Callithrix jacchus: one gene and its partners. The protein of the gene in region 1 interacts with the protein of each later gene in a pairwise test. Links are inferred from orthologs where the notes say so. Each region holds a gene or a part of one and is shown on either strand. Other genes may lie near its edges.

Region 1 (3,725 bases):
AGGGAAATATGGATAAAGCTTGGCTTTTCTCCTGTCAACAGAATTGAAAATAAGGAAGAATATGCAAAATAAGAGAAAACTGTTCTAAATCGGAAAATAGGGGAAAAATAATGGTAGGAAAAGAGGTAACACAAAAGGAAAGAAAATAAAATGTTTTATGGACTCATTCTGATTACTAATAACTTAGTGTAGAAAATGGGGTAGGAGGGAAATAAATATATTAGACAACATTTAGGTTTATTGACCTGGATGACTTTGGGTAAGTCTTTATTTCCCTGACTTTTGACTGCTTTTTCCACCTAATGAGAATGTAGAGACTACAGTGGCAATGGTCTTTTTAGTTTTAACTTTTCTGAGTTTCTTTAGTCACAGGCTGGATTTGTTTTCTGTTTCCCAGTGTTGAGCTTCTCTGTGTAATTGATAATATGTAGATTTTAAGTTAATGCTATTTTATCACAATTACTTTTGCCTTTTTCTGGTGGCAGCATACAAGTTAATTTCAGCTTCCTAATCTAATCTTTTGAGACCATGTTTCCAACTCCCATTATTAAATAATAATAATAATAATATTAGATGATATTTAAAGATGTACACATTTCTAGCCCTCACAATACCTGTTAAGATGAATAGCATTATTTCCAGTTTCTACAGAGTTTAAGAAACATACCCAATAATATTTTGCTAAGTGATAAAATTAGGACTTGAACTCAGGTAATTTTAAACTACAGCTTATTTTGTTTCTCATTGTAATATACAATAAAAAATTCTTGTTTTGTTTAGTTTTTGTAAAGTTAGTCACAAAACTAAAAGCTAATTTTTTAAAGCAGATACATAAGGAATTACAGAAAAGATAAAACAAGAGAAGAGTAAGAGTAGGTGGTGGGCTCATTTGCAGTAAAATACATTCCACTCATACACTGAACCTGAGTATTTCAGAAGCATTCTTACCTGAAAGTCCGGACACATCAGACTTAGGCAGATGTCTAGCTTTTAAAACAACCACAGTTAGAGTATTTGTGGTGGACTGATAGCAGAGAGAGATCAGTAACTCACCCCTTCCTGAAGACTTCTAAAGAAAGAGAAATGTAATATAAGTATTTCTATTATTTTTTAGCTTTGAAGTTTGCACGTTCATTGAAGTTTAAATAGCATTGTCATTTAAATGTAATCTTCTTGGTTATTTTTATTTTAATATGCTAAGGAATCAGAGTAACAGCTTTTGTGCAGTACCATCACTGCTTGAAAAACAACTGCCTGCCATCTTGTGGTCCCATTGGGTACTACAGGATGTTTCACTGCTATAAATCGACCACACCCATTACTTAGCAATGTTTAAAGAATATTTAAATTATATCTTACACAGAATTATTTTTGATTTTTGCTTTTTAATAACACCTCTACTTCTCAAAGTTATTAATAGTAATAAAGTTTACCTAAGTCTTTGCATGAGTATGTGTAAGGTCAAATGACTCTACATATACTCATGCAAATAATTAGATAAGTTTGATTTGATTTCAAATCCTTTAGCACTGACATATTGAAATTTGAATTTAGAACAAATGAGATTTATTCTGATCCCAACTACTTTTCCAGTCCAAAGGTATAATGGAGTTAATTATCTGCCTCTTTCCCAACAGCAAGTTTCCATTTAAGCCAAGGAATGATTTGATTTCAAGTATTGGAGAGAATTGATTCTGAAATTTTAATACATTGTTTTTGGACAGTATCACAGCGTCCTTCTTTTCATGCTACTTAGATTTTATTTGTACTTTAAAGACAATGGGTAAGACATCCGATAATTCAAAGTAAAAGTTTTGACTGAAAGTAACAAGATATTAACTTGGAATGTTTTGCAACTAGAATGATGGGTGACACAAAACTAAAGCTGCAATATATTTATACAAAAGCTAACATGGATCAGCTATATCAGTAAGCACTCTAAGGAGAATCAGGGTAGGAGACATATCCTTATTCACACTGTGCCACTAAGCCAGCCAGCTGTCTCAAACAAGCTGTAGAATGTCTCTGAACCTTGACCTTCACTAATTTCAATGAGAGGATACAGTCAAAATGAGCTGTGAAATTATTTTTAGCTCTGAAACACTATGTGGTTTAAAAAAACATAAAATAGTATATTTATTTATTTTTATAAATCATTCTATTATAGAGAGAAATTATTCTGAAATACCACTATTGAAATCAATTGAGTTTGAAATTTAAAGTGAAAATGGGTTAAATTTGTTTAATGATATCTTATTATTTTTTAATAAAACCAGAACTACTAGAGTAGTATAACTACAAAAGCAGACGAACTCACTTCCTAGTGTACAATTTACAGATGAACATTTATAATTGAATATGACATGATACCTCCTCCTTGAAAAGCAGTTCCATGAAAGTCAATACAATTTCCAAATCCTCAGGAAGAATTGATTTAATTTTAAATTTCAATTTTAAATTCAATTATGCTGACCTTGAAACCTCTTTGTTAATTTGATTATGAGTAAGAAATATTCACCTGTATTTTAAAGTAGCAGTGTCTGTCAAAATATTTATAATCGAGTTAAACAAATTTATATAAGCGATATCTAAATATCCTTCTATAAAGAATGCCTATTTAGTTTATGTCATTAAAACTATTTGAGTATTTCAGTTATGAATTAAATTTTATTTTGTCTGTTCTATTCCCTTGCTCTCCATTTGATTATAATTAATAATAATTAAACATGGTAAGGATGACATGTACAAGCTTATCATATTAATGAAAATTCCTTAAACACAAAAAAGCTACATAAAAGATTGTTTATAAAAACTTTAAGCACTGAAAATAAATTACCCTAACATTTCTTTTGATGATCTCTCTGTTCATTAACATTTTTCCTTCAGATAATTCAATTCCTGAGAGAGGAATTAGAACTTCCCCAATGATATCATCTCTTGAAAACCTGTCAAAACTCAAAATTGTGAAGTGCAAGGCCAATTCTTGGATTTGGGTATAGGGGATCCCATAGAATGTAAAGGTTTCATCAAAAGCTGGATCCAAGGTTTTTCTCAGCACTCTAGTTTTCACTTTATGCTTCTTCTCTGGGAGGATCGTCATTTTGATATATGGGTCAGAGGTCATTGACTGCTCATCCATGGCTGGCAAGCCACGGGCTTCCTTTATATTGACCACAAATGCTTTTCTCTCGAAGTTGTATTCTAAGGAGAAGAAGAGCGTTCCCAGCTTCTCTTGTTTCTCTTCTGAAGTAAGAGAAGTGCTGGACTTTAAACTATCAGGGGAAACTGCCTCTTTTTCCCCTTCTAAAGTGAGCTTCGGGGTTGCATTCTCCGGATCAGAGGGGCTGCCAGCTTTGAGGTTGGTTTTGGGAAAATTGCCATTGAGATCTCTCTTTTCAAGATCCAGATGTAATGAATTCTTTGGCACAGCTGGTTTATTCTTTACTTCATTTTTGTCATCTGCTCCAAACTTCTTTTTGCTATTTAGGTTTTCAGGGTAAATGTCAACTCCCTTAAGCACATGCACAAACTTGTATGGAGGAGTCTTGTTAGACTTGGATGATTTTCTCTGACAGCAGATCCATGCAAAGAGAGAGACTGTGAAGACCAGGCCAAATGCACTGAAGATCCCCACCACTGTGGGGATTTCATCTGAAAAATCAAATGACCAATAATATACATTAAAGAAGCAGAGCTGGAGATAAGAGCCTTTTGAAAAGCCTAAT
Region 2 (3,825 bases), on another chromosome or scaffold:
ATTTTTTTAAAAATAAAGATGGGGTTTCTCCATGTTGGTCAGGCTGGTCTCGAACTCTCGACTCAGGTAATCCGCAGAACAGTGGCTCATGCCTTTAATCCCAGCATTTGGGAGACAGAGGCAGGCAGATTGCTTGAGTCAAGGAGTTCGAGACCAGCCTAGCCAACGTGGTGAAACCCTGTCTCTACTAAAAAAGCAAAAATTAGGTGGGTGTGGTTGCACAGGTCTGTAATCCCAGCTACTCAGGAGGCTAAAGCATGAGAATTGTTTGAACCTTGGAGGCAAGGTTGCAGTGACCCAAGATCATGCCACTGCACTCCCACCTGGGTGACAGAGCAAGACTCTGTCTCAAAAATAAAAATAAAAATGAAAAGAAAAAATTGGCTAGGTGTAGTGGCTCCTGCCTGTAATCCTAGCACTTTGGGAGGCTGAGGCAGGAGGATCATGAGCCTAGGAGTTCAAGACCAGCCTGGGAAACAAAGCCAGACCCCATTTCCTTAAAAAATTAAGTTAAATTTAAAAAAGGTTTTAAATAATAAACCAATCTGTAAAACCATAAACCTGTACTGTTTTCCACAATGTAATGCATTGCCCTGTAAAACACTACAATTAAGACTATCATTTTAAGGACTCTGAACTCTGTGAAGATCAGGCACTTTTGTGAAACCCTAAGACGATTATCCTTCAATTTTCTTCATTCTTTGTTTCTACCTAGACTCAAGTTCACCACCAAAACAATACTACCGTGTTAACAACCATCCTGCTGACATCTAGTATTCATTCATGTGAAATGTAATTCTTGGGGTCCTTAAGATTTGGGCAGAATTTTTTTCAATTCCCCAGGACTTTAGGCAAAAAGTCAGGGAAATGAAGTGACTGACTCAGTCTGCCAAAAGTGGATATTCTGAAATATCACTTTCTAACTTCAAGAAACACACTTAAGGAAATGAATCTTCCTCTGTTTCTCAAATTACACAATTGGAAATTAATTTAGATACTCTGGAGCTCCTCCAGCTGGTCGGCCAACTAAGAGAAAACAGGAAGTGGGAGATTCTAGCTTAGCTGGACCATATCCAGGTCTTCATAAGAAACTATCTTTGGCTGACATGTAAAAAGATTCTTTCCACAAGAACATTAATCTTGAACTTCTGTAAATACCAAAGCTATGGTTAACCCCATCTGCCCCTTAGGTCTAAAGCCAGTAAGACAGATAGCTGGGTCCCAGGGCTTTCGTAACTGGCATTATTTTAAGTCCATGCCACTGACTCACCTTTGCTTGACACAAGTTAGCTTTTCCTCTACGTCGATTTTTTTCTTCTTCCAGCCTCAACAAAATCCCTTTAATGAAACAGACCTGGAAACCTGAGCTTTGATTACTGTCTCCACCAGAGGCCTGTACAAGCCAAGTTATCGAAGCTTTAAAATGTGTGACCTGAGGTCAGGAGCGGTTCAAGACCAGCCTGGGCAACACTGCGAGACTCTGTCTCAGAAAAATAAAAAATAAAAAAAGTGTGTCCTGAAAGCTGGGTGTTTGATAAAAAGGAAAAATAGTGCCTTTCCAAAACCGAAGGTCCCTAACCAAAGGGATCGCTTTAAGAGGGTCCCGAAAAAAGAAGGATGGGATGAGAATATGTGGGTAGTGTCATATTTTTACTTGCAGACTTCATCCTAGTCTTCCAGTTATCGTTTCCCAGCACTCCATGTTCCCAAGACGGTGTCACCACCCCGAGGACTCCCTCTCAATTTCTTTGCCTAGGCCCTCTTTCTGCGGGGGAGTCGTGGCCTTCCACCAGTTGAAGCCGGATGTTCTGAACCACAGACCCTCCACCTCTCCAGCGCTTTTCGCCCACTCGGTCCCTCTGAACAAGAAGGGCTCTCTCATCCAATCACTAAAAAGATTAGGTGTCCCGAGACACGGAAAAAGTGCCCCGTCTTCTTTGCAGGATTCCTCTCTTGAACTTCCCCAAACCCTCTTAGTGTGACGTGACCCCACTCCTAGGTAACCGCAGCTGCTTCCTTACCAGCTTCCCGCCCCCGGGGGGCGCCTGCCAGAGGCCAATGCAAGGACCGTCCGCAGCCAGCTCTGCCGCTATCCCTGTGGCGGTGAATCTAACATGGCGGATAAAGACAGTAACTAGTCCCCTGGTTCTCTGAGTTTCCGACAAGATGATTGGATCTTGCCATTTGTCCCTCAAAACAACCACCCCATTGATTGGTGGAGATTGTATCGACGGGGGCGGGGCAGAAGCAACCTGTAACTGAACAACAATAACAAACATTGGGGTCGAGGGGCGGAACTACGAGTGCGCAGACGTGGGTCAGAGCGGATTTCCCCTTCCCCAGGCAAATACGGTAGCCCCTGCGATCCCACAGGCAACTAACCTTAGAGGACTAGTGGGGCTGGATGGGAATTGTAGTCTTCCTAGGAGTTATACGTATCTTTTTTTTTGGCCTAGTCTCCGCTCTCAAGATACAAAACATAACAACACTCCAATCCATAACTGTTGACATGTATAAGGGCTCGGAGGTCTCCAATTTATCCACTGGATTTCCGTGAGAATTGTGCCCGCTTCGGTATTGGATGGTCAGCTCCATAAGACTACAGTTTTCAAGAAACACGGTGGCGAAGGCCTTTCATTCCGCAATGCATGGTGGAAATTGTAGTTCTCTTCCATCGCCGTCCCCCACCCCCCGCCACCACAATCCTTTTATTTACCTAAACAGGAGACCTCCATTGGAGCGGAAAGAGTGGGGGAACGGAAGCTCTTACGACAGCTTTGAACGCTATCTCGCGCTCACATTCAGGTCTTTGGTAGCGATTCTGGCCTTCGTACAGCAATTACTGTGACGTAATAAGCCGCAAGCGTTAGCGTAGCGGAGAGAGGGCGGGCGCTTTCTGGCAAACCCAGGTAAGAGTGCCTCCTTTTCCGTCTCTTTCTTTCTACGCCATTCGGCGGAAGACTGGGTGGCCAATCCAGAGCCCCGAGAGACGCTTGGCTCTTTCTGTCTCGCCCTTCCTGTAATGCGTCTTGAATTCTAGGAGGCTGTTGTTCAGTGGCAGCCCGCTGGTTTCCGTGGCAACGGAAAAGCGCGGGAATTACAGATAAATTTAAACTGCGACTGCGCGGCGTGAGCTCGCTGAGACTCTGAATGGTGGACGGGGCGTGAGGTTTCTCAGATAACTGGGCCCCTGGTCCCAAGAGGTCCTGACGCCTGTACGCTCTGCTCTGGGTAAAGGTAATAGAACCCCGGGAAAGGGACAGGGTCCCAAGCGATGCTCCGGGGGACTGGCGGGCGAGAGTGAATTTCCAAAGCAGAACAGATAGGTATTCTTTAGGCTGGGGGTGGGAGGACGGTGGAACCTAAGAGGCGTAAGGCGTTGTGAACCCTGGGGCGGGGGGCAGTTTGTAGATCGCGAGGGAAGCACCGAGGATAAGGAAGAGGGCATGGTGTGTCTGAGGGGGAATCCTAGTTATAGGAACTGGAATGTGCCTCGAGGGGAACAACGTCTGTTGTACTGGCCTGAGCATAGAAAGTCAACACCAAGACAAAAGTATGCCAAATTGCAGGGTCTTTATTGCCGGCGGCCACCGAGGACTCGCGTCTCTCCAACCCGTGGCCCCCAAAGGAGGGTGTCAAGACCTTTTATACCCGTAAAACCACCTCGGGAGTGAGGACAAAGGGCGGGGGTTGGGGGTGAGGGGCTTCAGACGTTCTGAGGGCTAGTGGATGCTGTGAATCATCCTGGGTGGAGATGAGCGTGAGGGGCTCTGGACATTCCAGTGGATTCCTAGGCGAAGATGAGGGTGAGGGGCTCCGGACACT
Region 3 (3,600 bases), on another chromosome or scaffold:
GTGGTGGGGCACGCCTCTCGTCACAGAACTTTGGAGGCAAGGTGGACCATCACTTGAATCCAGGAGCTTGAGACCAGCCTGACTTGAGAGGCTAAACTCCAAAGTACCCATTACCCTAGACACAAAATTGGGTGCACACACAAAACTTCGTTCACGATTTCACGGAGCCACACGCTCCCAGCTGCCCATGCTGGTAAGGTATCACTGATCTAGCATAGGGTTTTGATTTTTGACGGGGTCTTACTCTGTCACCCAGGCTGGAGTGCAATGGCGTGGTCTCGGCTCACTGCAACCTCAGCCTCCTGGGTTCAAGGGATTCTCCTGCCTCAGCCTCCTGAGTAGTTGGGATGACAGGCACACATGCCACCATGCCCAGCTAATTTTTGTCTCTTCAGTACAGATGGGATTTCACCATGTTGGCCAGGCTGGTCTCAAACTCCTGACCTCAGGCGATCCACCCATATGATAAGGTTTTTAAAGCATGATTGACATTCGACACTAGATTATTCTCTGGGGCGGGGCTATCCTAGGCACTGCAGGGTAGTGAGCAGCATCCCTGGCCTCTACCCACTCCGTACCAGGAGGTCCCCCAAATCATGACAACCACAAGGTCACCAAGTATCCCCGGGGCATAGGACTGTTCCCGGTTGAGACCCGCTGGTCAAGGGAGGGAAAAGACAGACAAAACGAATAATCAGAGACAGAAACAAGGCAAGGCACGGTGGCTCACGCCTGTAATCCCAGCACTGTGGGAGGCTGAGGCGGGTGGATCACGAGGTCAAGAGTTCGAGACCAGCCTGAGCAACATGGTGAAAGCCCTTCTTTACTAAGAATACAAAAATTAGGCGGGCGTGGTGGTGCGTGCCTGTAGTCCCAGCTACTGAGAGAATGACGCAGGACAACTGCTTGGGCCCCAGAGGTGGAGTGAGCCAAGATCACGCCATTGCAACAGAGCAAGACTCCGTCTCAAAACAAAACAAAGCAAAAAAAACCAAAAAACAGAAAAACAAATGAGTGTGCGGGAGCCCAGACATCCCCAGGTGTTCCTGCCCTTCCTGTTGTCACTGTTCTCTATTTGCCTTTGTCATTTTTAACAGTTTCTTTAAAACGCTGTTGTAGGACAGGCATGGGGGCTCACACCTGTAACCCCAGCACTTTGGGAGGCTTAGGCAGACAGATCATCAAGTCAAGAGTTGGAGACCAGCCTGGCCAACATGGTGAAACCCCGTCTCTACTAAAAATACAAAAAAATTAGCCGGGCGTGGTGGCACCAACCTGTAATCCCAGCTACTGGGGAGGCTGAGGCAGGAGAATCGCTTGAACCCAGGAGGTGGAGTGAGCCGAGATGAAGCCACTGCACTCCTGTCTGGGCGACCGAATAAGATTCCGTCTCAGCCGGGCGCGGTGGCTCATGCCTGTAATCCCAGCACTTTGGGAGGCTGAGGCGGGCGGATCACGAGGTCAAGAGATCAAGACCATCCTGGTCAACATGGTGAAACCCCGTCTCTACTAAAAATACAAAAAATTAGCTGGGCACGGTGGCACGTGCCTGTAATCCCAGCTACTTGGGAGGCTGAGGCAGGAGAATTGCCTGAACCCAGGAGGCGGAGGTTGCGGTGAGCCGAGATCGCGCCATTGCACTCCAGCCTGGGTAACAAGAGCAAAACTCCGTCTCAAAAAAAAAAAAAAAGACACAGAAACAAAAGAAAATGGGAGAATCATTCACCCTCTGAGATGCACACTCACGGCAATCTTCTGGCCCCGAATAACAAAAACAGCCGTTCTCAAGCCAGCTCTCTCTTACCAACTTCCAGGCACCCCGTCAAAGAATCCTATGTGGGTTTACCCTCATAAGGACCCTCCGACACATCTGCTTTTACCACTCCTGTTTACGAAAGAAGGGGCGCTTTGCTTAGAGCGGAGGCGACTCACCCAGGTTTACGCAGCGGGTAAGACGTGCTGGAGGGCTGGTCCTGTATCCCACATTGCCCCAACCTCCAGCAAGATATGCAGAAGACGACTCTAAACATGAAATAAGACGAACGGCCGCCAATTCTTCGGGGTTCTCACTTGGCGCTGGGCCCCGCGGCTCTCATTTCCCAGGCAGGGACTTTTGACAGCGTCCGTTTTACAGAGGGGACAACTGAGGCTCCAAAAAGCCAAGAGGCTGGGTAAGGTCACCGAGGTAGGGACTGGCGGCGCTGGGACTAGAGCCCCGACTTGAGTCACCACAAACGGGGGTCCCCGAGTCACAGGAACGACATTTCCAGGCGGTTAATAAGAGCGAGACGGCAGCGGACACCCAGCGAGCGCTCACTACTCCGGGGCGCCTTCACCTCCCGCCGACCTCGCCACCAGCCCGCGGACCAGCATTTCCAGGACCTGGGGTCCGGGACAGGGAGATCGGGGCTCGAACGGCCTGCCCGATGCCTCCCGGCCTCAGTTTCCCCTCCGCGCCACCTACTCACAGGACCCCGCGAGTCGCGGTGACCCTGACCTCACAATCCCCAACCTCTTACGGGCTCTGGGGCCCCGTGAGCCCCGAGCCGCAGACCCCCGATCCCCCAGGCTCAGCACGGAGCCCCTTACTCACCTCTCAGGCGACCGATCCCCGACCCACCGACGGTTGCGCTTGCGCACCGCGGTGCCACCCGGCCCCGGCCCCTGGGCTCCACGCCTGCGCAGAACAAGGGCATCCCGGCTTGCTTCCCTTCTGCGCAGGTGCATTACTGCTCTAAGTGGGCGTGACAGGAAGTGGCGTAACGTAGAGGCGGGTACCAGCTGGTCGTTAGGGCAACTGACCTCTGCGACCTAACGGAGGCCGGAAATCAGGTCTGACTTGCCATCTAAAACAAGCATGAAGCGGTGCATGGTGGGACAGTGGCGGACTGCAACAGGTGGCGGAGCTGACCACGTGGTGCTGGGCCGGCCACGTGGTGCAGCCGCGTTTGGACATCTGGACCTCAGAGCGTCACAGGCGCGCAATGAATGGGAGTCACTGTTATCCGCTCCCTGTCTTTGTTTATTATTTACCCACCCATCTACTCACCCACAAATGCATTCTTTCATGCAATCTATGAGACGTCTGTGAAAATAGAGACATTTGTAGACAGCAGGTGCCTCATATTCAATCAATATTTATTACAAACCAGCCATAAAAATCAGCGAAGTGTCTACTCTCATTATCTTGCATTGGTGTAGACGGACTATCAACTAATAAACTAGTGCATAAATACAGAAACAAGAAATTTCACAGCAAACCCTGCAAAAAAAAAATGAAGGTTGGCCGGGCGCAGTGGCTCAAGCCTGTAATCCCAGCACTTTGGGAGGCTGAGGCGGGTGGATCACAAGGTCGAGAGATCGAGACCAACCTGGTCAACATATGAAACCCCGTCTCTACTAAAAATACAAAAAATTAGCTGGGCATGGTGGCGCGTGCCTGTAATCCCAGCTACTCGGGAGGCTGAGGCAGGAGAATTGCCTGAACCCAGGAGGCGGAGGTTGCGGTGAGCCGAGATCACACCATTGCACTCCAGCCTGGGTAACAAGAGTGAAACTCCGTCTCAAAAAAAAAAAAAAAAAATGAAGGTGCTGTGATTG

The links.
Region 2: the proteins of SYT4 (region 1) and NBR1 interact in binary tests that used the Homo sapiens proteins (3 or more experiments, as listed by UniProt). The two-hybrid records come from large-scale screens. The link is inferred for Callithrix jacchus from reciprocal best matches to the Homo sapiens genes SYT4 and NBR1.
Region 3: the proteins of SYT4 (region 1) and SGTA interact in binary tests that used the Homo sapiens proteins (3 or more experiments, as listed by UniProt). The two-hybrid records come from large-scale screens. The link is inferred for Callithrix jacchus from reciprocal best matches to the Homo sapiens genes SYT4 and SGTA.

The regions. Positions count from the first base shown.
Region 1 is NC_133514.1:86,324,224-86,327,948, forward strand, and holds part of SYT4 (synaptotagmin-4), read right to left. Parts: intron 3,652-3,725; coding exon 2,837-3,651; intron 1,070-2,836; coding exon 949-1,069; intron 1-948. UniProt on the Homo sapiens protein: Synaptotagmin family member which does not bind Ca(2+). Involved in neuronal dense core vesicles (DCVs) mobility through its interaction with KIF1A.
Region 2 is NC_133506.1:120,771,588-120,775,412, forward strand, and holds the start of NBR1 (next to BRCA1 gene 1 protein), read right to left. Parts: upstream 2,847-3,825; 5' UTR 2,717-2,846; exon of another isoform or gene 2,383-2,716; intron 2,133-2,382; exon of another isoform or gene 1,367-2,132; coding exon of another isoform or gene 1,325-1,366; exon of another isoform or gene 1,271-1,324; intron 1-1,270. Other genes in the region: uncharacterized protein LOC144582689, read left to right, coding at 1,325-1,366. UniProt on the Homo sapiens protein: Ubiquitin-binding autophagy adapter that participates in different processes including host defense or intracellular homeostasis.
Region 3 is NC_133523.1:2,625,039-2,628,638, forward strand, and holds the start of SGTA (small glutamine-rich tetratricopeptide repeat-containing protein alpha), read right to left. Parts: upstream 2,732-3,600; 5' UTR 2,697-2,731; coding exon 2,594-2,696; intron 2,023-2,593; exon of another isoform or gene 1,933-2,022; intron 1-1,932. UniProt on the Homo sapiens protein: Co-chaperone that binds misfolded and hydrophobic patches-containing client proteins in the cytosol. Mediates their targeting to the endoplasmic reticulum but also regulates their sorting to the proteasome when targeting fails.